7 linked regions of the Ovis aries genome follow. The protein of the gene in region 3 binds, or shares a complex with, the protein of the main gene of each other region. Links are inferred from orthologs where the notes say so. Each region holds a gene or a part of one and is shown on either strand. Other genes may lie near its edges.

What was found.
Region 1: RBL2 (region 3) and LIN52 share a complex: the UniProt entries of both Homo sapiens proteins name them as parts of the DREAM complex. The link is inferred for Ovis aries from reciprocal best matches to the Homo sapiens genes RBL2 and LIN52.
Region 2: RBL2 (region 3) and LIN9 share a complex: the UniProt entries of both Homo sapiens proteins name them as parts of the DREAM complex. The link is inferred for Ovis aries from reciprocal best matches to the Homo sapiens genes RBL2 and LIN9.
Region 4: RBL2 (region 3) and MYBL1 share a complex: the UniProt entries of both Homo sapiens proteins name them as parts of the DREAM complex. The link is inferred for Ovis aries from reciprocal best matches to the Homo sapiens genes RBL2 and MYBL1.
Region 5: RBL2 (region 3) and E2F4 share a complex: the UniProt entries of both Homo sapiens proteins name them as parts of the DREAM complex. The link is inferred for Ovis aries from reciprocal best matches to the Homo sapiens genes RBL2 and E2F4.
Region 6: RBL2 (region 3) and MYBL2 share a complex: the UniProt entries of both Homo sapiens proteins name them as parts of the DREAM complex. The link is inferred for Ovis aries from reciprocal best matches to the Homo sapiens genes RBL2 and MYBL2.
Region 7: RBL2 (region 3) and TFDP2 share a complex: the UniProt entries of both Homo sapiens proteins name them as parts of the DREAM complex. The link is inferred for Ovis aries from reciprocal best matches to the Homo sapiens genes RBL2 and TFDP2.

Annotation. Positions count from the first base shown.
Region 1 is NC_056060.1:83,523,543-83,527,675, reverse strand, and holds the start of LIN52 (protein lin-52 homolog), read right to left. Parts: upstream 2,801-4,133; 5' UTR 2,794-2,800; coding exon 2,763-2,793; intron 1-2,762. Other genes in the region: ALDH6A1 (methylmalonate-semialdehyde dehydrogenase [acylating], mitochondrial), read left to right, coding at 3,382-3,435.
Region 2 is NC_056065.1:28,558,550-28,562,049, reverse strand, and holds part of LIN9 (protein lin-9 homolog), read left to right. Parts: intron 1-84; coding exon 85-186; intron 187-3,348; coding exon 3,349-3,429; intron 3,430-3,500. UniProt on the Homo sapiens protein: Acts as a tumor suppressor. Inhibits DNA synthesis. Its ability to inhibit oncogenic transformation is mediated through its association with RB1. Plays a role in the expression of genes required for the G1/S transition.
Region 3 is NC_056067.1:21,291,454-21,295,466, reverse strand, and holds the start of RBL2 (retinoblastoma-like protein 2), read right to left. Parts: upstream 2,801-4,013; 5' UTR 2,698-2,800; coding exon 2,458-2,697; intron 1-2,457. UniProt on the Homo sapiens protein: Key regulator of entry into cell division. Directly involved in heterochromatin formation by maintaining overall chromatin structure and, in particular, that of constitutive heterochromatin by stabilizing histone methylation.
Region 4 is NC_056062.1:43,807,168-43,810,667, forward strand, and holds part of MYBL1 (myb-related protein A), read right to left. Parts: intron 3,397-3,500; coding exon 3,325-3,396; intron 1,868-3,324; coding exon 1,775-1,867; intron 1-1,774. UniProt on the Homo sapiens protein: Transcription factor that specifically recognizes the sequence 5'-YAAC[GT]G-3'.
Region 5 is NC_056067.1:34,395,858-34,400,041, reverse strand, and holds the start of E2F4 (transcription factor E2F4), read right to left. Parts: upstream 2,801-4,184; 5' UTR 2,728-2,800; coding exon 2,593-2,727; intron 2,174-2,592; coding exon 2,064-2,173; intron 1,923-2,063; coding exon 1,761-1,922; intron 1,436-1,760; coding exon 1,392-1,435; intron 665-1,391; coding exon 603-664; intron 386-602; coding exon 88-385; intron 1-87. UniProt on the Homo sapiens protein: Transcription activator that binds DNA cooperatively with DP proteins through the E2 recognition site, 5'-TTTC[CG]CGC-3' found in the promoter region of a number of genes whose products are involved in cell cycle regulation or in DNA replication.
Region 6 is NC_056066.1:72,197,189-72,201,247, reverse strand, and holds the start of MYBL2 (myb-related protein B), read right to left. Parts: upstream 2,801-4,059; 5' UTR 2,770-2,800; coding exon of another isoform or gene 2,750-2,769; 5' UTR 2,461-2,749; coding exon 2,339-2,460; intron 1-2,338. UniProt on the Homo sapiens protein: Transcription factor involved in the regulation of cell survival, proliferation, and differentiation. Transactivates the expression of the CLU gene.
Region 7 is NC_056054.1:247,614,098-247,617,597, reverse strand, and holds part of TFDP2 (transcription factor Dp-2), read right to left. Parts: intron 2,008-3,500; coding exon 1,902-2,007; intron 1,692-1,901; coding exon 1,508-1,691; 3' UTR 1-1,507. UniProt on the Homo sapiens protein: Can stimulate E2F-dependent transcription.

The sequences.
Region 1 (4,133 bases), on a different chromosome or scaffold from region 3:
CACTGCTATATGACAGACAGGAAAGTTAAGAGTAAATCCTAAGTGTGTTCATCAAAAGGAGAAAAATTTTTGCCTTTATTCTTCTTTCCTTTTTACTGTACTGCTGTGAGAAGAGGGACGTTAGCTGAACCAATCTATTTACTCTAAGGAAATTTCCATTGGCATTCTAATTGGTAAAGAACTAAACTCTAAAAAACTGCCTTAACTAGATATGTGAAACACAAAATCCCAATTTTCAAACTTCCAAGGAATGCTACTTATGGAAAGTTCAAGCATAACAAAAATAAACTTATTGAGGGTACGATTCAATAACCAACAAGCATGACCTTATGATACCACAGTCTAGGGTATAATTTGACTCTACTGTGTTATTCTCATACATTAAGTAACAAATGACTTTAGATTTCAATTTTCTTCTTTTCAAGGAGGTCCCAGCAAATTAAGCATTGAAAAGAGAAAGAGTGGAAAGATCTAAACTTTTTTTCATAGCAAGATAATTTTAATTAAATCTTATAGACAGAAACAGGTGGAACTCTAAAAATAGAAGTGAGAGAGCTAGGCAGTAGTATATTTTAGGATAAGACATTTATTTAGATGCAAAATTTAAGTTCACAGTGCTCAACCTGTTTTTGTCAGATTAAAAAGATTAGAGGGAAAAGGATAAAGCTATGCAAAAGATGAGCATGAAAACTTTTAAAGTCAAGTGTGCAAATAGAGTGAGAGTGGACATGGTTAAAAGGCAAAAGGAAAAAAAAAAAATTTCCAATATTCTTCCTGGCCAAAGGAAGGAAAAGAAATTGAGAGAAGACAGGGAAAATCAAATATAAGGAACAAAAATATAAAGACAACTTAGTTATAAACTAAAAATTTTCATAGCCATTACTTCTATCACTTGGTTGATTTTTTTCCAACTGTGGTAAAATATACATAAAACATACCATCTTAGCCAGTATTAAGTGTACAGTTCAGGGGCATTAAGTACATTTACACCGCTTTGCAACCATCATCACCATCCATTGCTACAACTTTTTCATGTTCCCTATCTGAAAGTCTATACCCATTAAATAAATAACAACTCCACATTCCCTTGGCTAACTTTTTAAATGCTCTTTATTTTTTTCCTGGCCAAAAAAAAGAAAAAGACATTTCATTTTTAACAAGAGAGCACTCAGGCAGGATCAAGAATCTCTTTTGACTTTCAATACCCATAATTTCTTATACAGTATATGGTTGCTTGTCGTTGTTTAGTAGCTAAATCATGTCCAACTCTTTGCGACCCCATGGATGGTAGCCTGCCAGGCTCCTCTGTCCATGGGATCTCCCAGGCAAGAATACTGGAGCGTGTTGCCATCTCCTTCTCCAGGGGATCTTCCTGACTCAGGGACCCATGTCTCCTGCGTTGGCAGGCAGATTCTTTACTGCTGAGCCACCAGGGGAGCCCCATACAGTATGTACCCATGCTCAAAAACCTTAAAATATTATTTAAGCATATATCTAATCATTCTTTCAATAAACATGAATTGAAGACCTACTGCTTGCCAGTAGGCGAGGCACTGTGTTAAGCCCTGAGACCCAACTACCAATGAAACAGACTTGGAATTTTCAATCTGGACTGAAAGGGGCAAACTTGACATAATAAACTGTTCTGTCTATGAAGGTACTGAGAAAGTGAGTGGTGAAGAGGGGCAAGCTCAGCTCCTGTGCTCTGTGAAAGCCTCTCTGGGAGGTGACATTTAAATGAGACCTGAAACTGCCAAAGTGTTTACATGTTTGATTAATCTTCTTCTCTCCCAATGCACCTAGTAAAACGCCTTTCATAAAGCAGGATCTCAATATAGCTTTTCTGGCCACAAGTTCCTCATTCCTGAAATGAACTTTCAAGATTCCTTCCAAACACAAAAGGAGAGAAAACTACATATCAGTGAAATGGACGTGGAGATGGAATAGTCGAAGCAAAAACAGTTCAGAAATGACTGCAAAACTTTAATCCTAAAACAGAACGGAGAGCAAAAGCCTGGGAGTATACCAAAACCACTCAATTGCTATCTGAGATGAGTTGCATCTTCGACAACATATAAGCAGAAATCGTTCAATCACTCAGCCTTAAGAAACAATTCATAAAGCAGAAACAAGAGAGGTAGAGACGTGTACATGACTACGCTAAAAAGCTCAGTTCTATTTTCCTCGGGACTCTCACAGTTAGGGACCCGAGAGGGTCTCCTGCTTCTGTAGCTGCCAGGGCAACGGTCCCAATCTAAGGAGACGGGAGAGAATTACTTTTCTCTTGTGGTTCAATCCCAGGATGAGGTCAGCCACTAACCCTAGCTAGCGCTTAAGAGAATCAAAAAATCGTTCCAGATGCTCAAAGAGAAAAGAACTGACCTTTTTCAGTGAGGCGCCCGGAGGAGAAAGCTACACTAAGGCGCCTCCTTTCCTCATCAGTATCTCTTCCTCGGCCATCAGTCTCACCCAAATGAGGCTAAAGGAGGACAAGGGCGACCCTCGTCCTTTTGCCCAGAAAAGGTCCCTAGCGGGCGCCCTCCTCCATCTGCCTGGTACACTGAGAAGAAACCAGGCACCTCTGGAGCCGCTGTGAAGAACCGGCGAGCTTAAGAAGCAGCCACATCGCTTAGAAAAGAAGTGGAAGGGAAAGGATAGGAGCCCATGAAAGAAATGTAAATTCGAGTGGTAGATGGAAACGGAAGTTCCCAGGAGAGCGCAGAAGGATGTAGCAGGCGAAAGGTCTCTAAGCCGGTTCTTACCGTCCGTGGGAGACGCCATCTTCCAACCCATGTCACGTGACGTGGCCAACTGTCGGCGGGAAAGCTTGGATCCGTAAGCCACGCCCCCAAAGAGAAACCCTGCCCTCAAACCCGGGAGCCGGGTTCGTCTCCCCGCCCCTATAGGGACAATCTTTACATAGGCCCGCCCCCCGGTGCTAGCCACATCTCCCCTCGCGCAGTGGATGAGGCGGAGCTACTGCAAAAATTCTTGCATGAACTTATTTACTTCCCTCAGTGAGTGGGCGGGGCCGCGGTTGTGCCTTTGGCCAATCGCAGTTCCGGGTTCGGGGGCGTCTTCCTCCTGTGCTCGATATAGAACATCGCGAGTCGCTCCGTGCCTTCCCTACCCCTCCGCCAACAGAATTTGTTGAGGTAGCGCAGGGCGAGAACGCTATCACTTCTGACCAATCATATTCCCCCAGGGCTGGGACTGAGGGGCGGAGTCAGGCGTTAGGGCGAGTAATTGGCTAGGGGAGATTGTCCTTTCCGCCAGTGAGGAGGTGCGGCAGGATGGAGGGGCGAGGCCTGGCCGCAGTAGAGCTTCTGGACAGTCTCAGACCGTAGAGGTGCGGGGGCTGAGAAGAGGCAACCCAGAGCCATGGCGGTGGTGGCGGCGGCGGCGGCGGCGGCATTGCGGGCCCGAATCCTCCAGGCGAGTGAGGGTAGCGCCAAGGGGTTGCGAAGCTCGAAATTCGTCCTTTCCATCCGCTCTCTGAGCCATCCCCTTCATGGCTGACCCTTCTCTGTGCCCATCGGACCTGTGCGGCCCTGTCCCACACCTCACTCAGTACCCGCCTTCGTTGGATTCAGCCCTAGCCCTTTTATTCTTGAGCCTCCCCCCTTTTATGGCTCTGGCCCACTCTCCTCTTCGAGGCTTGCCCGATCCCTGCCGACACTCTCTTGCCCCACCTCTGTCGGTCTGCCCAACGTCTTCCCTTTCACCTCTGCACCAGCCACCTCTCTGCCCTAGAAACTCCCCTTCTGGTCACCTCTCTTAGCATTGGGCCGAGAACCTCCAAATTGTCCCCCTCCCCCACCCTTCTTCACGGTTTGCAATCCGAGGTAAAGGCCGGGGGGCGAGGGGCAGGAAGCACACGAGGGGCGAGGGTCAGTGAATGAACTTTGAATCCCCTTCTCGGAATGTTCACTCCGTTTTCCCAAAAGCAGTCATTTGCTGAGCTGTTTTCCCCAGCTACGGCTCTTTGCATGTTCCACAGGCTGTGGACTGTTGTGCCTTTGCTTGCCAAGACTTTGTTTAACTTTCTGGCAGAGTTACAGTGTTTTGTTGGCGTTGAATAAGGACACATAGTTAATGATCCCAGTTTGTTCCAGGCACGTGCAAAGAATTAA
Region 2 (3,500 bases), on a different chromosome or scaffold from region 3:
ACTTCAATAAAATAAAGTTTTTAAAAATTAAAATGCTTCCTTTTGAAAGGTCAGTGGTTAAACGGTTCCCTTTTATTCCCATAGGATAATGATCCCTTATTAGGACAGTCACCTTGGAGAAGTAAAATTTCTGGCTCTGACACTGAAACGTTAGGTGGTTTTCCAGTAGAGTTCCTTATCCAAGTGGTAAGAATTGCTCTAAATATTTTGCTCATTTGTTAAAAAAGAATTCAATATCTTTTGTGTTATTAAAGTTGAAAATTTTCCTAGGACCAAATATTTTTATACTTTTTAAAATCATTGTGTTTTAAGAACTCTGTTATTTCCAACAAAGCTTGAAATTAAGTTATAACAGCCAGAAAAGACTTAGAGGTCTGTTTTTGTTGGGCTTTTCTTGGGTTTGGTTCTTATTATTTTGCTATGTTAAGGACTCTAGCATAAGTGTTCTAGCATACACTCTATGAAATTGAATGGTTAGCTGTTAATAAATTGTATAAATATAAAGGTTTTTATTTAGTAACCTCAGTAATCCTGCCATTATCAGTCACCTCAAAACTTACGGTGTGTTGGCCAGCTCTCTGGTTAGGAGGAACTTTAGTTTTTTTCTGAGACTACAAATAGCTATTCATTTGCTAAGTACTTAATGATTAGACACAAAGAAATCTGAAGCTAAAGCGAAACAAATAGCAATTATTATATACAACAGTTTTCCTGAATAGCCTAACTCTTAATATAATGAGCTGTTTGTTTTGAAAATTAGGTTGAATAAATTATTTAGTTTGACTCATAGTCTAATGATGTTTGATTTGTTTCTTTTCCTCTCCTTTTTCTTTTTTGAAAATAAAGCTGTTTGGCTTGGGATAGATAAAGTCTTTATAAATAAAAATGTTTATAACATAAGCCATTAAAATATTCAGTGTTACCTTTTACAATTAATGTTATTTTGAGGAAAAGTCTTGTCATTTGAATGGCATTTCTTATTCCTTAGTTATATGTTGTTAATTATCCTTGGACTACAGAATTACACCTTTTAACTTTCAAAGGTAGATTTTTTATATGAAAAATTTTAAATATGAAAAGAACCAAGGCTTATCATTTCACAACTAGGACACTTGTTTTTTAAAGACATTCTTTCTTTTATTAAATACTGGAAGTAAAAACAAAGCTGATATGTCATATTTGGGCAAGGGGTAGAGGGAGATGGGGAAGGAGGGTGAAGAGGCAGAGGAGTGGGGAGCAAGAGGTCTACCAGCAGAGGGAGTCAGAAGCCAAAGACTAATACACTACTTCTAAAGGATTGATGTTTTTATTGCTGCTTAGATGTTTTGATTGCAGTGCTTAATTTTAACTTCAAAATCTATGTGTAATGCCTAGTTGAAACACTGCTTTCATTATTTTAAGCTTTCTAGCAGGTAAAAATAAAAGCCCGTTTATGTACTTGTCTTTTGTAATATCTAAAGTTTTACGAAACTCAGGTTTGCTTTTGTCGAGCTGTAAGATATGTTTTTGTCTTTGTTACTATTTTTTCTTATGACAAAATAAACATCATTTTTTGCTAGTTTCATAATTCATAGTTCGCAATGAATTTTTTTTCTTGGGGTTAGGGATTTTGAGGAATCTAAAAAGACTGACCAACCCTCTCTAAGAGAGGACTCAGTTTTGAAAAGAATGAGAAGGAAACAGCATGATTTTCTATCAAAAACTAACAAGAAACACAAAACTGAAAGAAACTAAAAATGGGAGAAAGATGTTGCCTTCATCCATTTTTTACTGTTCCTTACTCAGTAGAATCACACAGTTTTCCATAAAACCCAACAACTAAAGACAGGAGACCAGTCCAGAGCTCTGGACCTAAACTAATAAGGGTCAGTGTGAGCAAGTATATGACATATCTTACCGGGCCCTCCCTCTACCTGTATCAACTTAGGTCAGTTTTTTTATTTTTATTTTTTTAATTATCAAAAATTTAGTACATATGAAAGCAGGCAGTTGTATAATGTATCTCTCTGAACCCATTTTCTAGCTATAGCAGTTATCAAAAACTCCTGGCCATTTCTATTTCATATATACTCCTACCCTTTTTCTCTCTTTTGAGACATTAAACATCATATCATTTATCTGTAAATATTTTGTTTATGTATCTTTAAGTGGTAAGGGCCCTTTTTTTAAAAAAAAAAGACATAACTGTAATATTATTATTACATCTAAAAAGTTAATAAAAACATGTCTTAATATCAACACATATCCAGTCAGCATTCCAGTTGTCTAGTTGGCTCTTAAATATTGGCTCTTCTTTTCTCCCGTTAACCTCTTTGTTGAATAAACTGTATTATTTGTTCATGGAGTCTCCCACTGTCTGGATTTTGCTGACTGAGTTTGTAATAACATCCAGTATACTCTTCTGTCTTTGTACTTCATGTAAATTGCTCATTGAATATAAAGGTTTGATTTGATTTGGGTTTTTCATTTGATTGGTATAGTTGTTTTTATATGACTACTTTTATGCATACTTTTGTATTCTGATAGGATGTGTAGTAGTAGTGCTCAGCCATGTGCAACTCTTTGCGACTGTGGGCTATAGTCCACCGGGCTCCTCTGTCCATGGAATTTTCCAGGCAGGAATACTGGAGTGGGTTGTCATTTCCTACTCCAGGGGATCTTCCCAAAGCGGAAATCAAACGCACATCTCTTGTGTCTCCTGCATTGGCAGGCGGTTTCTTTACCACTAGTTCCACCTGGAAAGCCCTGATAGGATACCCCTATTTTTTATCTCTTTTTAAATATATTGTTAGCTGCTACAAATTATCAATGCCTAGATCCATTCATTCGTTAGGATTGCAAAATGGTGCCATTCTTGTTCTTTGTGTATTAGCTGAAATCATTTTGTGAGGAAAAACCCCCAAATCTACTATTTGGTTACCTAATGGCATAGTTTGTATAGGAAAGGCAGGATAAATGCTTGATTTGTTGGCTTTGTTTTCCAGTTGATGAGTTTGGTTACTAGTGTTCTCCAACAGTGGTTAATTTTGTTGAGTATCGGTCTGAATGCATGGATTTTAACCTATTTGTGCTTTAATTAATTATAGTTATTATTCTGATTGGTCCACACGTTGTTCCAGTGAAAACTTGTTCAGGTTGACTTCTTACTCGTTTTGATGTACCTGCTTACAGTGGATTTTAAAATATCTTCCTCTCACCCAGTCAGATTTCTAAAATAGTGTCTGTGCTATATTTATATTGAAACACATCTGCTAAAATATCTTAGTGGAAACTTACAAGTTTGATGTCTACCTGGTATATTTAAGTGCCTCTCTTTATTCCAAAACATCTCTTTTTCATTGTCTGTAGACCAGACTATCAAAAATTCTCATGATTAAAAAGGAGCATATCAAGAAATTAAGGGAAATGAACACAGAAGCAGAAAAACTGGTAAGGATTTTTTTTTTTGTTTACTTGTCTCATTTTCAAATGGTGGGGGCTTCTATATTTAAGGGTTGAAA
Region 3 (4,013 bases):
GGAGAAATATCAATAACCTCACATATGCAGATGACACCACCCTTATGGCAGAAAGTGAAGAGGAACTAAAAAGCCTCTTGATCAAAGTCAAAGAGGAGAGTGAAAAAGTTAACTTAAAGCTCAACATTCAGAAAATGAAGATCATGGCATCTGGTCCCAATCACTTCATGGGAGATAGATGGGGAAACAGTGGAAACAGTGGCAGACTTTATTTTGGGGGCTCCAAAATCACTGCAGATGGTGACTGCAGCCATGAAGTTAAAAGATGCTTACTCCTTGGAAGGAAAGTTATGACCAACCTACAGCATATTGAAAAGCAGAGACATTACTTTGCCAACAAAGGTCCGTCTAGTCAAGGCTATGGTTTTTCCTATGGTCATGTATGGATGTGAGAATTGGACTGTGAAGAAAGCTGAGTGCCGAAGAATTGATGCTTTTGAACTGTGGCGTTGGAGAAGACTCTTGAGAGTCCCTTGGACTGCAAGGAGATCCAACCAGTCCATTCTAAAGGAGATCAGTCCTGGGTGTTCATTGGAAGGAATGATGCTAAAGCTGAAACTCCAGTACTTTGGCCACCTCATGCAAAGAGTTGACTCATCGGAAAAAGACTGGTGCTGGGTGGGATTGGGGGGCAGGAGGGGAAGGGGACAACAGAGGATGAGATGGCTGGATGGCATCACTGACTCGATGGACGTGAGTCTGAGTGAACTCCGGGAGTTGGTGACGGACAGGGAAGCCTGGCGTGCTGCGATTCATGGGGTCGCAAAGAGTCGGACACGACTGAGCGACTGAACTGAACTGAACCATCTATTATTTGTCACTTGTTTATATAACCCCGGGCTTCCTATGACTTAACCACTGTGAGTTAAACATAAAAAGTGTATAATTATGCTTTTTCTATTTAATTTACAAGGTTACCCTGAGGGTAAAATAAGAGCTTATTTGGAGGCACTTATGCCCATCACCAAAAATAGTCCTTCTCTTTTGTCACAGGAACCACTAGGAAATAAACAATAACATGAGTGAACTCCGGAGTTGGTGATGGACAGGGAGGCCTGGCATGCTGCGATTGATGGGGTCGCAAAGAGTCGGACACAACTGAGTGACTGAACAGAACTGAACTGACCTGACCTATTCAGTCATATCACCTAAGCATGTGAAAGAGCTTTGTAAATTCTAAAGCAGTCTCCATGAATGCTTTACGCTCCAGAAATTCCACATTACCTTACTTAACCTTCAGAACAGCTGTGTAAAGTAGGTACACATACCTCAAATTGACATATCACAAAACTGAGTTTGGAGTGGTTAAGTAAATTGCCCGAAGTCACCAAGGCCTGTCAGGTTCTAAAGCCAGTACATATCTAGCTACCCTCCCCCACTCTAGATGTAACTAAATTAAAATTATATTAATGCAAGAATAAGAAATAATAGGAATAAATTTAGTGAGTGCCACACAGGCAAAAACACCGTATTACAGTTAAAACACATCTGTTAGCCTTCCCATTCTGAGCCTATTTGCCCTACTCTTTCCACAAACTATTAAACAACTTCAGAAAATCATATGGCTTGCAGTTTAAATATCACTCCCATGGGGCAGTTAGACAGCGGATAAACAATACACACTTCCGTGTCACTTCCCATTGGCCCGTAAAGGGGAGGTGCCTACAGAGTTGAACCTCACTGGCTAGAATGGCCATTTTTCTTAATTGCAAGCCCCGTCCGAAGAAAGGGACAAAACATGTCCAGATGACAGCGACTCTTAAGAATCCTGTGCAGTGTCTGGGGTGACCAATAAGTCCTCAAGATCGCCGCAGTCCTGACTTCCTAGAGACAGATAAGAGTCTATATCCAGGTAGGCAGAAAGCCCGTTTCATCCGCTCACGGGAAGATTCTTCTTTGTTTACAAATACACAAACACAGCCCGAAACGTAATGCATTTACTCAAATGGCAATGCCTGGACCAAAGGCAATTAGGTACAGCTTGCAAAGAACTTGAGGAGAAGCCTGGAAACGCAGACGCTAAAATCGGGTTAATTTCAGTGCTAGCGCAGGCAAGCCCCACACCCCCATCCCTTTTGAGTACGGTCCTGACAACTGCACCTGTTCAGTCTGCCAACCAGATGGCTGTATTTTTGTAATCAGACCCCAGCACGACCTCAGCCTCGAGGTGCTAATTCAGGGCAAAGGCTGTTCCCCCTTCGGAACCGGAGAGGGAAGAGCACCGAGACAGGGTTCACTTTTAGGACAGCTAAGGGCTTTTCAAAAGCCAGGTTTCCAGGACGAAAGTGGGCAGAAAGGACTCCCTTCCCGCTCCAGGCTGGGGACCGGGAGAGCCGGGGCTGACCTGGGGAGCTCCCCCGCGGGGCTCCCGAGCCGGAGAGAGAAGGGCCCCCATCCCCCGCGGCGGGGCGGGACCGCTAGGCCCCGAAAACCGCTGGTCTCCTTTCCCCGGCGCACCTCCAGCGTGTAGCTCTCGCTCATGCTCCGGTAGCTCTCCCAGGCCTCGGCCCGCGCCGCCTCGTCCATGTTCAGGCGGCTGCACAGCTCGTCAAACCGCTGCTGGGTCTGAGGGGCCGGCGACCGGGCCGGCTGCGCGGCGTCCTCCGCCTCGCCATCGTCCTCCTCCTCCTCATCTGAGGCCGCCGCCGCCGGAGGGGGAGGCGGGGGCGGCGGCGACTGGTCGCCTCCCGACGGCATAGCGTACACCTGTGCGGCAGGTCCTCAGGTGAGCCGAGGGCCCGGGCCCACAGCCATTCAAACCGCGAAGCGCCCGCCGGTCGGCCGCCCTCTCGGCGACTGCGCCGCCGCCAACGGCGCTGGACCTCAAGCCGGCACCCGTAGTTCGGAGCACGGCCTGGTGGGAGATGTAGTCCAGGCCGGAGACCCACGGGGATCAAAAATCATATTTAAAAAAAGTCATCTCGCGTCCTCTCCCTTGGCCTGAGGTAAAACCGGCTTCTCTGCATTTCAAGTACCTCTTCATCGGGAGACCCATTCAGCAGGATTGTACTGAAGAGAAAGTATCTAAGAAACGTTGACACGTGAAGGTTTAGTGTTCAAAGTGTCCTCAGAAATAATACTTACCACCTGCGTGTCCTAATCTGAAAAACCAAGGTAATAGAAAGGGCCTGTCTGCCTAAATTCAAATTTTGGCATCACTCTTACAAATTCTAGTTCTTTCCTATATTTATTTTTTGTCCGAGCTGCAGTGGTTTGTGATATCTTATTTCCCCGGTCAGGGATTCAACCAGCGCCCCTTTCAATGGAAGCAGAGTCCTAACCAGTTGACCGCCAGGGAATTCTCCTTTTCTGTGTTTTAATTTTATGTGAGACTTTCAAAAAATTGATTGATTTTTTTAAAGGAGTAATTAATTTTCCCCCCATAGGGTGAATTTACATTTACCCCTAAGTGACATATTTGTTCTGTTCTCAAAACTTCATTTTTCTTTGCTTTCTCTTCAAATCTATATGAATCACATTATTTCCAGTCCGCTTTGGTTTATACAGGAGTATAGTATTAATAAGTAGGAGTATTATTTTGCAACAAAAGTCCATCTAGTCAAAGCTATTTCCAGTAGTCATGTATGGATTTGAGATTTGGACCGTAAAGAAAGCTGAGCACCGAAGAACTGACGCTTTTGAACTGTGGTGTTGGAGAAGACTCTTGAGAGTCTGTTGGACTGCAAGGAGATCAAACCAGTCAATCCTAAAAGAAATCAACCCTGAATTTTCATTGGAAGGACTGATGTTGAAGATGAAGTTCCCATACTTTGGCTATCTGATGAGAAGGGATGACTCATTGGAAAAGATCCTGATACTGGGAAAGATTGAAGGCAGGAGAAGAAGGGGACAACAGAGGATGAGATGGTTGGATGGCATCACTGACTCAATGGACATGAGTTTGAGTAAGCTCCAGGAGTTGGTGGTGGACAGGGAGGCCTGGCATGCTGCAGTCCATGGGGTCACAAAGAGTCAGACATGACTGAGCGAATGAACTGAACTGATAGTATAAA
Region 4 (3,500 bases), on a different chromosome or scaffold from region 3:
ATGGATATGAGAGTTGGACCATAAAGTTGAACATCAAAAAATTGATGCTTTGAACTGTGTGGTGTTGGAGAAGACTCTTGAGAGTCCCTTGGACTGTAAGGAGATCCAACCAGTCCATCCTAAAGGAAATCAACCCTGAATATTCACTGGAAGGACTGAAGCTGAAATTCCAATACTTTGCCCACCTGATGCAAAGAGCCAACTCACTAGAAAAGACCCTGATGCTGGGAAAGACTGAAGGTGAGAAGAGAAAGGAACGAAAGAGGATGAGATGGTTGGATGGCATCACTGACACGATGGACATGAGTTTGAGTAGGCTCCAGGAGTTGGTGATGGACAGGGAAGCCTGGTGTGCTGCAGTCCATGAGGTCTTAAAGAGTCGGACACAACTGAGCAACTGAACTGACTGTCATAATACACATATTATGTTGTACATCTGAAACTAATATATAAGTGAAAGTGAAGTCACTGAGTCATGTCCCACTCTTTGCGACCCCATGGACTGTAGCCTGCTAGGCTCCTCCAACTGCAGGATTTTCCAGGCAAGAATACTGGAGTGGGTTGCCATTTCCTTCTCCAGGAACTAATATATAATTATATCCCAATTTTTATTTATCTATTGTTTTAGGCCACCCCCCATGGCATATAGGATCTTAGCTACCCAACCAGGGATCAAACCAGTGCCCCACGCATTGGGAATGTGGAGTCTCAACCACTAGATAGCCAGGGAAGTCCCATATATCTCAATTTTTAAAAAGCACTACCTTGATAGAATCTTAAAACATAACTCAAGAATGCTATTTTAAATGCATTAAATCCAAACCACAAGTATAATTAAAAAAACAATTTTACTAAAAATATTCCTTCAGCATTTGCCAAGTTCAAAAAATTGATCCCACACTTATCTAAATACAAGGTATTAAAGTGACCTGTAAATTAAATTGTTTCATACAAAATTAATATGAAATAACAGTAAAATGTTGAGACTTTAAGATTTTCTACTCTTGCATTTTTTTTAATGCTTCAGCAGAAAGCCAAATAAATCATTTTGGAAGCAGGAAAGATTTATAGTTACTGTCTATTCATTACTTTCTTTCTCAAACTGAAAGGATACAAATCACACATTTTAAAACTTACCACTGGCCAATTTTTTTTTTTTTTTGAGTGGCAGTAAAAATGCTCTAATTTTCCAACTACATTAATAAGATGATGCCATGAAGAGCATGAACTAAAGGGTAATTCTCAGAAGACGACAGTAACTTTCCCATTCTTCTCATACTTTCATAACAAAGAATTACCTTGGTTTTGAATCCTCTAGCTCTCTGGGAACACGATGATAAGATATCTGTCTTATGTGGGAGCCCATTTTAGGTTAAGAGGGAAAGTTAAAGAATAACTTCTTATACCTCAAGTTTTCAGATAAAATAAGAATACAATTGAATTGTTTTAAAAATGCTAACTCAATTTTCAGTAAGAAACTATGCCCTAAATGTCGCTAACCTAAGCTCTAAAATGGTGACTAAGCTGACAGTATTTTTTATTCTACAAACCAAACTTTCAGCCAGCAAAAGCTATATTATATTATACTTGGTTTGACTCAATTCTGAAAAAACTACATCTCAAAATACTCAATTTTCAATTCTAGTACAAGCAGTACTCAGAGAACAAATCCAGGTGATTTAAACATGTATTTATGTTACCCAAAAACAATGTATTAGTAAGAAAAAAAGCAAGTCCACCTACACAGTGAAAATAAAGAATATGAACACGTTACCCTCTGATCTTCTTCTTTAGTCCAGGGACCCTTTATCAATTCTGGATTTAAAACTTTCTGCCACCGATGTTGGCATTGAAAATCAGAACGATTCTGAAAGAATTTAGATGATTTTGTTAATGAACAACTGTCTTCCAAACTTTCACAACCTTAAGAAGAAAGTTTCCAGGACTAATACATTCAATAGCATTCTCTAAAAATGAAATATTTATTTTATATGCCTGTATCCCAATTCATTTTTAATTAAAGTTGTCAGCATTGCTTAGAGTATAAATAAAAATTATATATTTGAAATTAAAATTATTTATCTCTATACCCTGCCTGATAACACAAGCAAAAAAGCAAAATAACACAGATACTAACATAAAGAAATGTACTGATGAATAAAAGGGAGTAAACAGACAACTAAACAATACAGACGTACAAACTCAAGCAGCATAGCAGCCTGGACTCATAGAGTATAGCAGTACCTAACTCTACACAATTCAAAAAACACCCAAAAGGCATTACTAGACTACTGCATGGTATTTAAAGGATGTTTATAAATGATAACTCCAAGTTATCAAGAAAAAATAAGTATATCCAGATTGATATACATTATATATCAGTTAAATATTTAAGCACTGAAGTTCAAAAGGAAAATGAAATTTACCAGGGTAAAGCCTTATGTAGAAACATGTCAAACTCGAAAAATGATTAATAAGTGTAGCCTTATTTTTAGTCAATTCATGACTTAGTAACTCCTGTGTATTACAAGGATAATACTACTAACACAACTTTTCCTTTAGTGATTTGGTTTCTGAAGATATTAGTTCATATACAGGATTACAGATAATTTTGAATGACATAAATAGAAATACTGTATTTAACCACAGCTCTCTCCTGATGCCTAGCGGACTTGTTTTTATTCATACTGAGTGTTTTCATGTATAGCTTCGGTACATCAATGCTGATTCACTTTAAGGTTATCATTTTCTCAAAATAATCAGGTTGTTCTTGTACATCCTTGTAGCATTTCTCTGTTGACTACATTTGCTGTTATACCACTGAAGTTAAACTGATAAAGCTAATGTAAGCAGCTTTTCTAATTTAGATTCTATTTATTGAACATGTGCTAAATGTAAGGCACTGTGCCAAACATCCTATATGTTACTTCTAATTCTCACAGCAACATAGCTTCTTCTGGTTTCATTAGTTACCAAACTATTTCAATAGATTTAACTTCTCTCAAAATGTTTTAACATTGATTAGCAAATATTTATAAAGCCCTATCCAAACTTCGTATAATTTTTGCTTTAAGTCAGCCATCTTTTTTAGGTCTGTCCTCTCTTTATGTCAGTCATCTTTTTAGATCCCCAGATAAATTAATTACTAAAAAAGAAAACCCAGACTTTCTAAGTTTCCAACTGTAGGAAGAGCAGAACAAAACAGTTATTTTTAGGATGGGAACCTAAATCTAAAATAACGTAGACACATTTCTGAAAAACAGCAACTGTAACCCCATGGCCTAAATCATTTGCGTTAGCAGTATGAGATAGTGTTTCACTTACTTGAAGATGACGAGCAATCAGAGTCCAATCATCAGTTCCATGTTGTTCAACCAACTTCTTTAACTTGTCATCCTATTAAGACAGGTTTATGGAAATGAAAAAGCTTTCCCTCACCCTATTCCCCTATTCCTGAATATACTGTCCAATTCTTTCACGTCATATCTGGTGGCCATTTT
Region 5 (4,184 bases), about 13 Mb from region 3:
AACTCTCAGTATTTCATCTCGTCACACAGAAACATTGCTTCTTGGGTCCCCGAAGTCCCTCATTACCACATACCCCTTGTGTCTCACCTGTAATCTCAGCTGCTGGACCAGCCACCCCCTGGGCCTCGGTGCTGCTGGGGACAGGGTTGGGGGTGGTTGCCTGGGGACTGCTCGGGCGTGAGGCATCCTGGGGCTGGGCCAGGGCAGGCTTGGGCAGAAGCGGAGGGGTAGAGACAGCAGGCGGGCTCTGGAGCAGGTCTTCGGGTGGGGGCACAGGAACCGCCACAGGTGGTGAGCTCCATGCCTCCTTGTTCACCAGAAGCACCTCAATGGGGCCACTTACACTCTTCAGGTGAATCTGGTACTTCTTCTGCCCATTGAGGCCCTGAATGTGGGGGTGGAGGACAGGTGGAATTGGAAGCAGATTTGGCTCCTGCCTGACCCTGGGCCAGGGCCAGTATCCTCTCCCACCCTGGGCTGCCCGTTCCCCTAGATAACTTCAAACCCTAGGCCTCCCCTTACCTGCCCCACCCGGGACTTATCGGGCTCCACAGCCAGCACCCGCCCTCAATCCACCCCACCCGGCTGGGCTGAGCACCCACCTCTGGGATGGGCACCTCCAGGCTGGTGCCCGACGGGGCCCGGATGGCAAGGAGAGTGTCTCCTAGGATGACAAAGACGATGGATCAAGGCCCATGGGCTCAATTTGAACTGGGAATGGGGTGCCTATCCCTCAGAACAAGGAAGGACGTCATAGTCCCGGAGGGGGCGGACAGTAGGCTTCACTCACTCCCTATTGAGGCTGGGGGAGAAAACTAAAGCTTTTTCTCTCCTAAGAACCCAAAGGTCAGTAACCAGAAAATCTGGGTTCAGATATGTGGAGCAAGAGATTAGTGGCCATGGGCACCTCATTCAATTGATGGGGCTGCTCCCTAGGCAAAGATGTTCTGGCCAAGGCCAACAGCTCTTCCCCAGAACCAGCCTGGGAGATGCAAGATGGACGAGGAAGAGTTCCTGTACCTACAGTGCAACTAAACTACAGGTTGGAAGTGGGTACCACTGCCCCCTGCACACAAGCATATACAAACAGGCACACACACTTTCTCCCCTCGTATGCTTCTGTCACACCTGAGAAGCCAAACCTAGGGGGCGATGCAGGTGGTGGCTGACCCAGAGACCCAGTCCAGGCTTCCTGTACCCTCTCAGCATGGTGAGCCTCCATAGGGTCCCAGAGATCCTCAAATCTAGGCCTTACCCTGTCTGGTTCTTCTTTGAGCAGGCCCCAGGAACCCTCTTAAGAGACGGAAATCTCTCAAGCACCGAGTCCACTGCTCAGGGCTGTGGCTCAGCCCAGTCCCACCCCCATTTCCCCCTACCCAGGCTCTGCTCACCAGCAAAGCATCTGCAGATGTCCTCATGAGTCACGTAGGCCAAGGTGTGGGGGTTAAGGAGAATGGCTGATGCCCTGCCTATGGTGACAGATAACTGACACAGCGAAGACCCAGCTTTGCAGCAGAGGTCTGACATACATGCTCACAAAGAGAAGCCCTGAGGCCTGGGGTCTACATGGGGGAGGGATCACAGGCCAAGACTGTGGGTGGAGAGGCTCCGAGGAGGGAACCGGAGGCTGAAACCTGGCCAGGAGCTGGAGGACCATCCTCCCAAGTGGGACAGAGACTAGGGGACACAGAGCACACCCAGCTGGACTAGAGGGCCCATCGCCCACTCCCCGGGAGCCAGGACCGCCGATAAGAGGATATCAGCTGTTCTGCACGTCCTCTGTGACGTTCCGGATGCTCTGCTGCACCCACACCTTGTGCTGGTCTAGTTCTTGCTCCCGCTGCTGCAGCTCCTCGATCTCTGCCTTGAGCTCAATCAGCTTGTCCGCAATCTCCCGGGTATTGCAGCCAGGACCCACACCCCTGAATCCAGGAAGGAGAGCTAAGAGGGACTGCCTGGCACTCTGGGTCCTACAGCCCCTGTTCTCTCTGCCACCCTCCACCCCACACTCCTGACACTTCTGGGTAGGAGATACCATTGCCGACCCCGGTGCCCCCACTCACTTCCACTGGATGCTATTCTTGGATTTTTTCTCAATCAACCCGATACCTTCCAGCACGTTAGTAATGTCATATATCCGCCGCTTCTGGCGCACAGCTAGGGTGTCAGCTGCCTGGCAAGGAGAAGAGAATGGAAAATGCTCAGTCCCACTCTCACGGGGGACTCGGTCTGGAGTAGTCTGGAAAGGGGGTGGCCTGAATTCTAGCCCTCCTCCCCAGGCACTACAGCAGCTCAGGACTGTGGGGCGGGAAGAGGCCAGACGAAGCCTGAGCTGATGTTCCGATGCTCTTTTCCCCACACCTGCTGGAAAGGGCCACGAGGACTACCACCCGCAGCCTCAAGCTTGCCACAAAGCTGACATCCGATGAACAGCCTTAGCCGAATGAATGAAACAGCTCCCGGCCTCCCGCTTGTGAGAAGCACATGTATGGCGGCCTGCTCTGAGGGCTCAGCTGGGCCGCCCCGGGGGTTCCCTCTACCGGCTCAGGCCTGGTCCACCATCCCCCTGTCGTCCCTTAGCCCGGGCCGCACCAGCTTGAGGTCAAGCACACCGTCCTTGGCTTCCTGCAGAAGCGACACGAACTTGGTAGTGAGAAGTCCCAAGCTCTTCTCGTGCCGGCTTGGGGTGCCTGGGGGCGGCGGCGCCTGTGGCCCGGCCTCCGCCATCGCGCCCGCCCGCCGCCTCCCCTCAGCCAGGCCAGGCCAGGCCGGCGCCGCCGCCACTTCCGCTTCCGTTCCTGGCTGCTCGGCCGCCGGCGCCAGCCTCGCTACTTCCGCTTCCGCTTCGTTCCCTTCCAGGGAGTCCGTCACAATTCCTCTCAGCAGACATGGCCGAAAAACTTGAGGGACCATCATCAAATGTCCAACCGCCGAAGAGGACGAAAATAACCCCAGGATCCCGGAAGACAGATGTGGTCGAGGAAGCATGTGGAGGAAGTCGTTGGGTAGCCTCAGGAGCAGTAAGGAGGAATCACTGGAACCTTCCTGGCTGGCAAACCTGACCCAACTCGACTAACTGTGCCCCAACCCTCATCTCAGGAGAGGAGACCCTGCTGCCTGATGAACCCAATGTGTTTTCCCAAACCTGCTCCTAAAAGACTGCCCCACTCTCTTGGGATCACCTACCCTCCTTATTCCTGTCCTTCAGTTCCTGCCAAACAGCAAGCACTAACTACATCTAGCTTATTCACCTGTCTGCATCCCCACTTTCTTCCCCTGATCCCAGCCTCGCCTTTCTCTTGTCTCCACACTACAGTGCTCAGAGGCCATGGGATTAAAACCACTTTTCAACCGATGCAAACATATTTACCCATGTGTAAATATATGTAAAGCCCTTAGAGCAGTTTCTGGCATGTGGAAGGATTATGTGTTTGCTAGTATCATTTTGTTATTTTTAACACTATCATTTATTATAGTTTATTTTAGGTCAAGTTCTTTGGAAAACAGTCTTTGAGAAAGAGATGTGCCAGCAGGAAGTTTACTGAGAAGCCACACTTGTAAGGAAATAAGACAGGCCAAACAGGGCAGAGAGGAGAATTAAACTGTGAGGAAGTTAAAATGGAGGGCTCTGTCCTTCTAGGAGCACTGAAACTGGGGTACCCCTTCCAAGGCCTACCTGGCCCTTATACCCTAACACTGACCAAGAGACTCAGATCTGAGACCTCATTAGCCTACATTTCGGGCAGCTAGGGGAATGAGTGTCTTTGTCCTGAAGGGTGGATTTGGGTGGTAGCCAGTGTCCACAGCATTATTACTACCTAGTAGTCAGTTCCACTGGAGGAGGGCATGGCAACTCACTCCAGTATTCTTGCCTAGAAAACCCCATGGAGAGAGGAGCCTGATGGGCTCCAGTCCATAGAGTGGCACAGAGACACGACTGAAGCAGCTAAGCAGCAGCACCAGTCCCTTTCATGGCTCCTTTTATCTCCAAGACAAACAAGCTTTCATAGCTCTTCCACCCCTCTCTGCCATCTCCCGCCACACACCCTCCTCACAATAGCCTATGGTCTCTTGCTCCTCTGCAGAGGCATACCTGCCTCTAAGGGCCTGTCAACACAGTTTTCACACTGTGATGTTGTCTGCATCCATATCAGCACACCTTCCTCTCCACCCAGGTTGGGGCC
Region 6 (4,059 bases), on a different chromosome or scaffold from region 3:
TTGCATACCCCTTCTCAATCTTTGCCTTCACACAGGCCTAATTTATGGAGCAAAAAATCAGAGTACAAGCAACTTTGAATTCTGAATGTTTTTATTTTCTAATAAGTAATTTTCTAAGTCACTCCAACATCTTCCTATTTACGTGGTATAATGTTTACAAAAATGAAGATCACGCTATCCACGCCCAGGGATGTCTGGGACTCACTGGAGCACCCTCCCAACTCAGGTGGACCTGTCAGGGACATTCCTCAGGCATGCATTTTTACGCAGGAAAAGTCTATGAGTCTCCAAGCACAGGTCAGGTATCAAAAGAAGGAAGAGGACTTCCTTCTGCAGCCACCCTCCTTTCCCCTTCTCAGCATCTCCCTAGTCACTCCCACACTCCCCAGAGCGCCTTGGAAATCCTCCTGTCTCATAACATAGGCCCTTAGGTTGCAAATGCCTATCTCCTTGACAACCGGGACAGAGGTCACCTTCACCTCCGTATCTGCCTTTGGAGGATGGCACCAAAATGCCTTAAGAAATGTTTGCTCTGGAAATGGCCAGATACAGGAATGAATGACTGATAAACATGCAAAGCTGCTGCCTCTTAGTTGATCAGAAATGCTAACATAAGTCAACTTTTAGAATGAGGTAAGGAAGGGACAGATGCTGTCTAAACCCACCAACACCTGTCATGAGAGCTGGAATTCAACCTTGTCTCGTCATTCCCAACCCAATTCATGGAGTACTCCACCATTTCAAAATAGGAGATTCTACAAGATACTAATAACAGAAAGAAGTGGCTTTAACATCAACTGACCCCGGCCTCTGTTCTAACAGAAACTATCTTTGGTTCTCTGACACCCAGCTTCTAACAGAAGCTCAGCAAATGTTCCTTCAAGGACAAAGTGATTTCTGTGTGAACACCCTCTGGAGCTTGAATACTCTATTTAATGCGGACAGTACTGCGGCTGGGACAATTCCGTGAGGTTTAATATACTTATACCGCCATCACAGTAATGATTGTCTGCTTCACAGGCATTCTCATTATCCCCATTTAATAGATGTGAAAACTGAGCTCCCAGGTGGCACTAGCAGTAAAGAACCCGCCTGCCAATGCAGGAAACATAAAAGACACAGGTTCAATCCTTGGGTCAGGCAGATCCTCTGGAGGGCACGGCAACCCTCTCCAGTATTCCTGCCTGGAAAATCTCATGGACAAAGGGATCTGGCAGGCTACAGCCCATAAGGTTGCAAAGAGTCAGACATAACTGAAGCGACTTAGCACGCACACACGAAGCTCGCAGGGGTTAACCTGCACCTGTAGGTCCTCATCTGATAATCCCAGCAGGAAAAGCAGAGGCTAAGTCAGTAGTGCAACCACGTGGAGGTCTCACACACCCTTTCTATGCCCTTCCATGTGCTGGGCTCTGCTCCAGTTGGGGTGAGTCAGAAGCTGAGCAGGAAGTAGGACACTGTGCAGAAGAGAGTTACAGCAAGTGGCCAAGAATCAAACTGAATGCTGTGGGGTTCCAGGATGCAGAACCCATCCCTCACCTGGGAGCTGGGATTCTTCCACTGAGCCCCAGGGCATAGATGGTAGAAGACCTGGGGGTTTTCAGGGGCTTTGGGTTTGTTGCCTGGAGTGAACACTTCCTGAACCAGAAATTCAGGGCCTGACCAGCGCCTGCCCAGAAAATAACTCCTGGGAATTGGAGCTGCTCTGAGAAACCATGGCCTGAGGAAGACACACCCTGTGCCTGATGACTTCCCAGGGATCAGATGTTTCCTTGCTGAGAAGCCTGTGAAGGCAAACATCACCTGAAGCGAGATATTTCAGGCTATTTGGTATGGATACAGGAATCCTGGGAGGGAACAGGTCAGAACCCCCTGTGGTTCTGTAGTGTGACTCCCAGACTGGTTGAAAAGCCTAGAACTCAGACACTCAAGGAACAGGTGTAAGACAGGAACATGGAACCCACAGACCTGATTTCTGGCTTGTCTCTGCCATTCAAACTCTGGGGGATAAGTAAAATGGAGACTGCAGTTCTTGCCTCCGCCCCAGGGGTTGCTGGCACAGATCAGTCTCTCTTCCCCTTGCATTCAACCCCAGCTGCCCCAACCCCCGCGCGTAGGACAGGAAGAAGGTCTCCGGAGCGAGACCGACCTAAGGCCCCGAGCCCAGGTGGTGAGGGACCAAAAAGTCCCTCCCGGCCCCAGCAACCCTCCTAGGTCAGGGGAGAGAGCCGGGAGTGCTCCGTGCTTCCCCGAATGTTAAGAAATGCCCACCGGCAAAACCAGACCCCCCAAAAGGCTCCAAAGACAAGCGTCTTCCAGGCTTTCGCCTCCCACTCACCGCGACTTCGAAAATAATTTTTCTTCTCCAGGGGTCGCCTCCCTCCCCGGTAAAGGCCCTTCCAGCTGACACCACCGTCCCACCCCCACCCCGCAATTAGGCGGGAGACAAAATGACATCATACAAGGCTTGGCCCGGGTCCCAGGAGACCCGCTCGCCCCAGCTCCGAGGCCCAGCAGGCCCGGGGGTGCCGAGCGAGGAGCCCCCGAGAGCTCCCCGGCTTCGCGCGCACCCTCGACGCCTCCCCGCGTCAGGCGACGCGGGACACCTGAGTTTTCCGCCGACCCCAACCGCGCCGGGCCGGGATCGGAAAAGCCCCGGCGAGGGTGGCGGTGCGGGGAGGGGGTCGGGGCTGAGGAGGATGGCGCCTGGGGAGGGGGGAAGGGCCCTCCGCCGGCCGGCTCCGCTCACCCGCGCGTCCGCCGCGACATCCCCCCGGCCCGGGCCGCGCCGCGCTCGCCCGCCCGCCGGCCGAGCCCGGAGCGGGAGCCGGGCCGGGGTCAGGGTGCGAGCTGCTCCGGCCGCTCCGGGCCCCGGGGCCGCGTGGCGAGGCGTCAGCGTGACCACAGGTCCGGCCGCTGCTCACGGGGACTGCGGCCGCCGCCGGCGCTCACAGAAACACTTTTCTATCTCCCGCCAAGCGCGCCGGCGCCGCCCGGGCCAGGCGCGCGGGCGGGCTGGTGCGCGGGGCGGGGCCAGCGAGCGACGCGGGGCGGGGCCAGCGGGAGGGCCGTGCTCGGGGCGGGGCCAGCGAGCCGCGCGGGGCGGGGCCTGAAGGCCCGAGGGCACAGCACCGAAGCTCCCAGGGCAGGGAGCTCGTGGGCGCGGCTTTGACCCCGCAACCTGGTGACTGAGGCAAGGCCCGGCCGAGAGCCTTGGGGCAGGCCTGGAGGAGGGAAGACTGAGAAAAGGGAATGAGCCGCAAGGGTGGGAGAGTGAGGCCGAGGGAAACTACCTGTGCTAAGAGCCCAGCGCTAGTCCAAGCAGCTCCTATGTCCCTACACCCTCACCCCCACCCCAAAGCGGCCTCCTCACCTACACCTAGGCCAGGGCTGAGACTTGGAAACCACTCCCTTCTTCCTTTCCAGCCTTGAACTCAAGTGGCTCCAGCTCCTCAGCTGGACTCCTGGCAGCCCAAAGCAAGCCTCCTAAAAAGCAAACCTGATGTTGCCTCTCCAGAACTTAAAGTCTCTGTCCTCTCCCTCAGGGTAAAATATTCTGCAATCAGGTTTATAGCAGTCTGCCAGACCACCACCCCGCCCCTAGCGGGAGGAAACTCTTCAGCCTCCTGGCCGTTGCTGGGGCGGATACACTTCCCACTTCTCCCACCGGAACTAGTTCCTATTGCTCCTTTAAGAGCCCACAGCCCACAGTCTACTTGCTGACTTATGCATGTCCTGATTTGAACTATGGGCTTGCTAAAGTTCAAAGTGAGTGAAGTCACTCAGTCGTGTCCGACTCTTTGCGACCCCATGGACTGTAGCCTACCAGGCTCCTCTGTCCCTGGGATTCTCCAAGCAGGAATACTGGAGTGGGTTGCCATTTCCTTCTCCAGGAGATCTTCCTAACCCAGGGATCGAACCTGGGTCTCCCGTATTGCAGGCAGACGCTTTACCATCTGAGACACCAGGGAAGTCAAGTTCAAGGGGCCCCTCAATTCACAGCAGTATCCCCAAGGCCCAGAATTCATTGGTTGCATTAAATTCGTTTCAGTTCAGTTC
Region 7 (3,500 bases), on a different chromosome or scaffold from region 3:
ACTTAACGCTCTACATCCTTCTGTACTAGCTGTTTGGGTCAGGGAGGCCCTGCCCCTCTAGTCACTGCAGGCATTGGCCTGCGCGCTCCCCCGGCAGGATTTAGAAAAGAATCGGTGGGCTGAGCTCACAGTAACTGGATGCATAATTTAAGGGCAAATACAAACAAGTCAAGTCAAAGGACTGGAGTTAACTGTCCAGTATCACTTGCTCCTTTCCAAGGCCTTAATGTGCACTTAAGCTGGGGTCTGGCCATGGTTGCAGCTGTCTCCACACCCGTATTCAGAGGGGCGGTAACTGAGCCCAGCACGTGCCGTTCCCAGTGGCGTCTTTGGCTCTGTCACGACAGTCTACATCCTGCTCCACTGCACGCCCAGTCCTGGGGTGCTCACCATTTTCTGGTGTTTCTGTGAAACTATCAGGTTAGTTTGAAATGCGTTTCACCCAGGAATCAATCCAGGATGGTCATTTTGATTCATGAGAATGTAGAGAAGGTGACATGTACAGGAAAACACTGCTTGTTCATATTCTTGAACGCCTTTTCAGACAACAGTAATGGCAGTTCACTTTCACAAATTGCACACTGGGTGAAATCATACAATTACTTGCAGGGAACAGTAAGCAAGCAGTTCGGTCATAGGGACATGTTTCTTTGTTTTGTGCTAAGTGAAAAAGCTGTAGGAAACGCATAGCTCTGATTAAAACCACAGAGATAATTTCCTGCTCTGTAACACTCCAGATTTAGGATGCTGGCAAAAGGCAGTGCTGGCAAAGTATTTAATGCACGTGAAAATGCTATTCTATTCTGGCTTCCAGAAGTAGCCCTAGAAAATTCTATGCACCAATGCATTGGCTAAGGGTGATAATTTCAGTTGGACTATAAATTATTCTAAATGTCACTTAAGTACTTCAGAATTAGCGCTCGCTCCTTTCTAGAAGCCGTCTAAGGCAGCTGATGCGTAAAGCACCTCGACTAGACTTTCAACTAGTTCAGCGGTTCCATCTGTGCTCCTGGGGCCCCGTGGTCTCCCTCACTCACTGCACAGCCCACCGGGAACCTCTTGTGGTTGGTCAGCCTAGGGAAAGGGCAGCCCAGGCCAGGGAGCGGGACGAGGGACCCAGACCAGCAGGGGCTGTTCGTGTAGCCATCTCAGTTCTAAGAGGGGGTGGGTGGCCGCGGGGGCCGCAGTGGCCCCGCCTCGCGGAAGGGAAGTGTGTGGCGTGCACGCCGCCCGTTCCTCGGGGACGGCCCCCTCCGCCACCTCAGAGAACAGGCGTTGCTCGCCAAGTGATCTACTGCTCTGCTGATCAGAGCTTTCATTCGCACTACGTTAGCGTTCATCTCAACCATCTCAGCCTTCGGGTAATTTGCTTATTGTGTTTCCCTAGTTTTCACTGAACACACAGTGCAAACAAAGGCAAAGACTGAAGCAGTCGTTTCAAAAACAAGAGCTCACACTAAAAACACACATGAGCATCAGACAGCAAAACGCGGGTTTGCGCCTGTCTTTATTCTGGGGAGGATGAGTCCTCCTCGTCCTCTTCCTCGTCTTCATCGTTGAATGAACAGGGCGTTTCGCCTCGGGACTCAGAGCAGTGAGAGGCCGCACTGCTGGACTGGTGACTGTTTGGGGCAAGGAGCTGCCCCGTTGCTAAGGCCACTTCAGCATCCAGGCACAACCCTTGGTTTACACTAGCAAACAATCGGAAACACACAGGCTGGTTAATGTGTGCAGCCTTTAAGCTTTGGAAAACATAAAGGATGAGAGCCCAGGAAAGGGAGGGCCACAGGCGAGCTCTGCCGGGATCCGCAGGAGACCCAGCTGATAGAGGCACATGGGGCTCCCCTCCAGTGAGGAGCAGGCTTGGAGGCTAACCTTTTTAACCCTGAGAAAGTACATACCTTGATTGGGACAAGGTGGCACCGGTGGTCAGGTCTAAATTTGAAACGGATTGGGTAGAGTTCAAAAGCAGTCCCTGATTTAACCAAGATGGTCCTGTGGAGATGTCTACAGGAAAAAACAAAAACAGATGGAGGCCTGGTAAGTCCCGTGGCTGCTTTTGCTATGGCCTGCAGAGAGCACAGACGAAGGAGGCAAGCAGCCCATTCTAAGCTACAGTCTCCTGCCCTGGGGAGAACCCAGGTTTCTTCAGCTTGCAAAAAGGAAATTTCTAGAACATAAGAGTGGAGCAAGGGGGAGGATTCAGGGAGACAGACTACAGCCGGAAAGAATTCAAATCAGACCAATCCCAGAGTCTTCATTCTTTTTTTCTTGCAGAAGCCCTTGAGAGGGCATCCCACATGAACATATTGATGGTTGCACTACTGTTGGACACCCGCTGGATGCACCACAAAAGCCTCTGGCTGGGGTGTTAACAACCAGAGCAGGAGTGGATAAGCAGACAGTTAAGTCAGAACACCCTATGTCAGAGGGACAGACATTCTTGCTCAACCCCCTATACCCCCTGCCATGGTTTCAAGTACCCCCTGGGAACTCAGTGCTATTACTGACCAAGATTTATTCTTTTTCTTGGTATCCTTTGCTTTAAAACTTGAACTAAACCTTACTTTAAAAGGCTTTGCACAGTCACATTTTTCGTGAGCGCACTGCTGTTTCAGTCTGCATCAAATACTGTGCAGATACATCCTTGCGGTCCTGTTTTCTATGCAATTTACCATATTTCTCCCATCACAACCCTGCCTAATTCTTATTGTAACTTTATTATTTATTTATGGCTGTGCCGGGTCTTCGCTGCTGCACAGGCTTTTTTCTAGTTGTGGCAAGGGGGCTGCTCTGTAATTGCTGTGCACAGGCTTCTCACTGCTGTGGCTTCCCCTGCCGCGGAGCACAGGCTCTAGGGCACACGGGCTTTGGCAGCTGTGGTTCCGGGCTCTGGAGCACAGGCTCGGTAGCTGTGGCACATGGGCTTACGCTCCCTCGCTTGTGGGATTTTTCCGCATCAGGGATGGAACCCGTGTTTCCTGCATTGGCAGGCAGATTCTTTACCAGTGGGCCGCCAGGGAGGCCCTGTAACTTATTTAACCCTTGTCTCCTTATCTAGACTGTTAGAGAAGGCAGTGACTGGGACAAATAAAATCTAAATGTTAATGAATTAGCATCGTGTATTTCAAAGGTGAGTTTACAACACAGGTGGGCAGAAATATCAGAAATGAATTTCTTGAAATGAATTTGACTTATGTTGTAAGATGAGACCAAGCATAGGTCATCTTAACATGGCCTATGAACCTTTTCTTCACAGGCTAACTAAAGCAGCTATGAGGGGGGAAAAAAATTCTAAGAACAGCAGGTTTTAAATGGATACAATAAGAACAAGTTGGTATATGAAGTTAAAGCCAGAATCCTGTGCTAAGTATTATTAATTAGTATGTATGGAAACCTTCTGTCAGAACACAGCTCTTGACAGGATATGTTTTCCTTTCACAATGGCTCTGAAAGGCCGACCCACACAACAGTTCTCACAACCTTCAAGAGCCATCCTG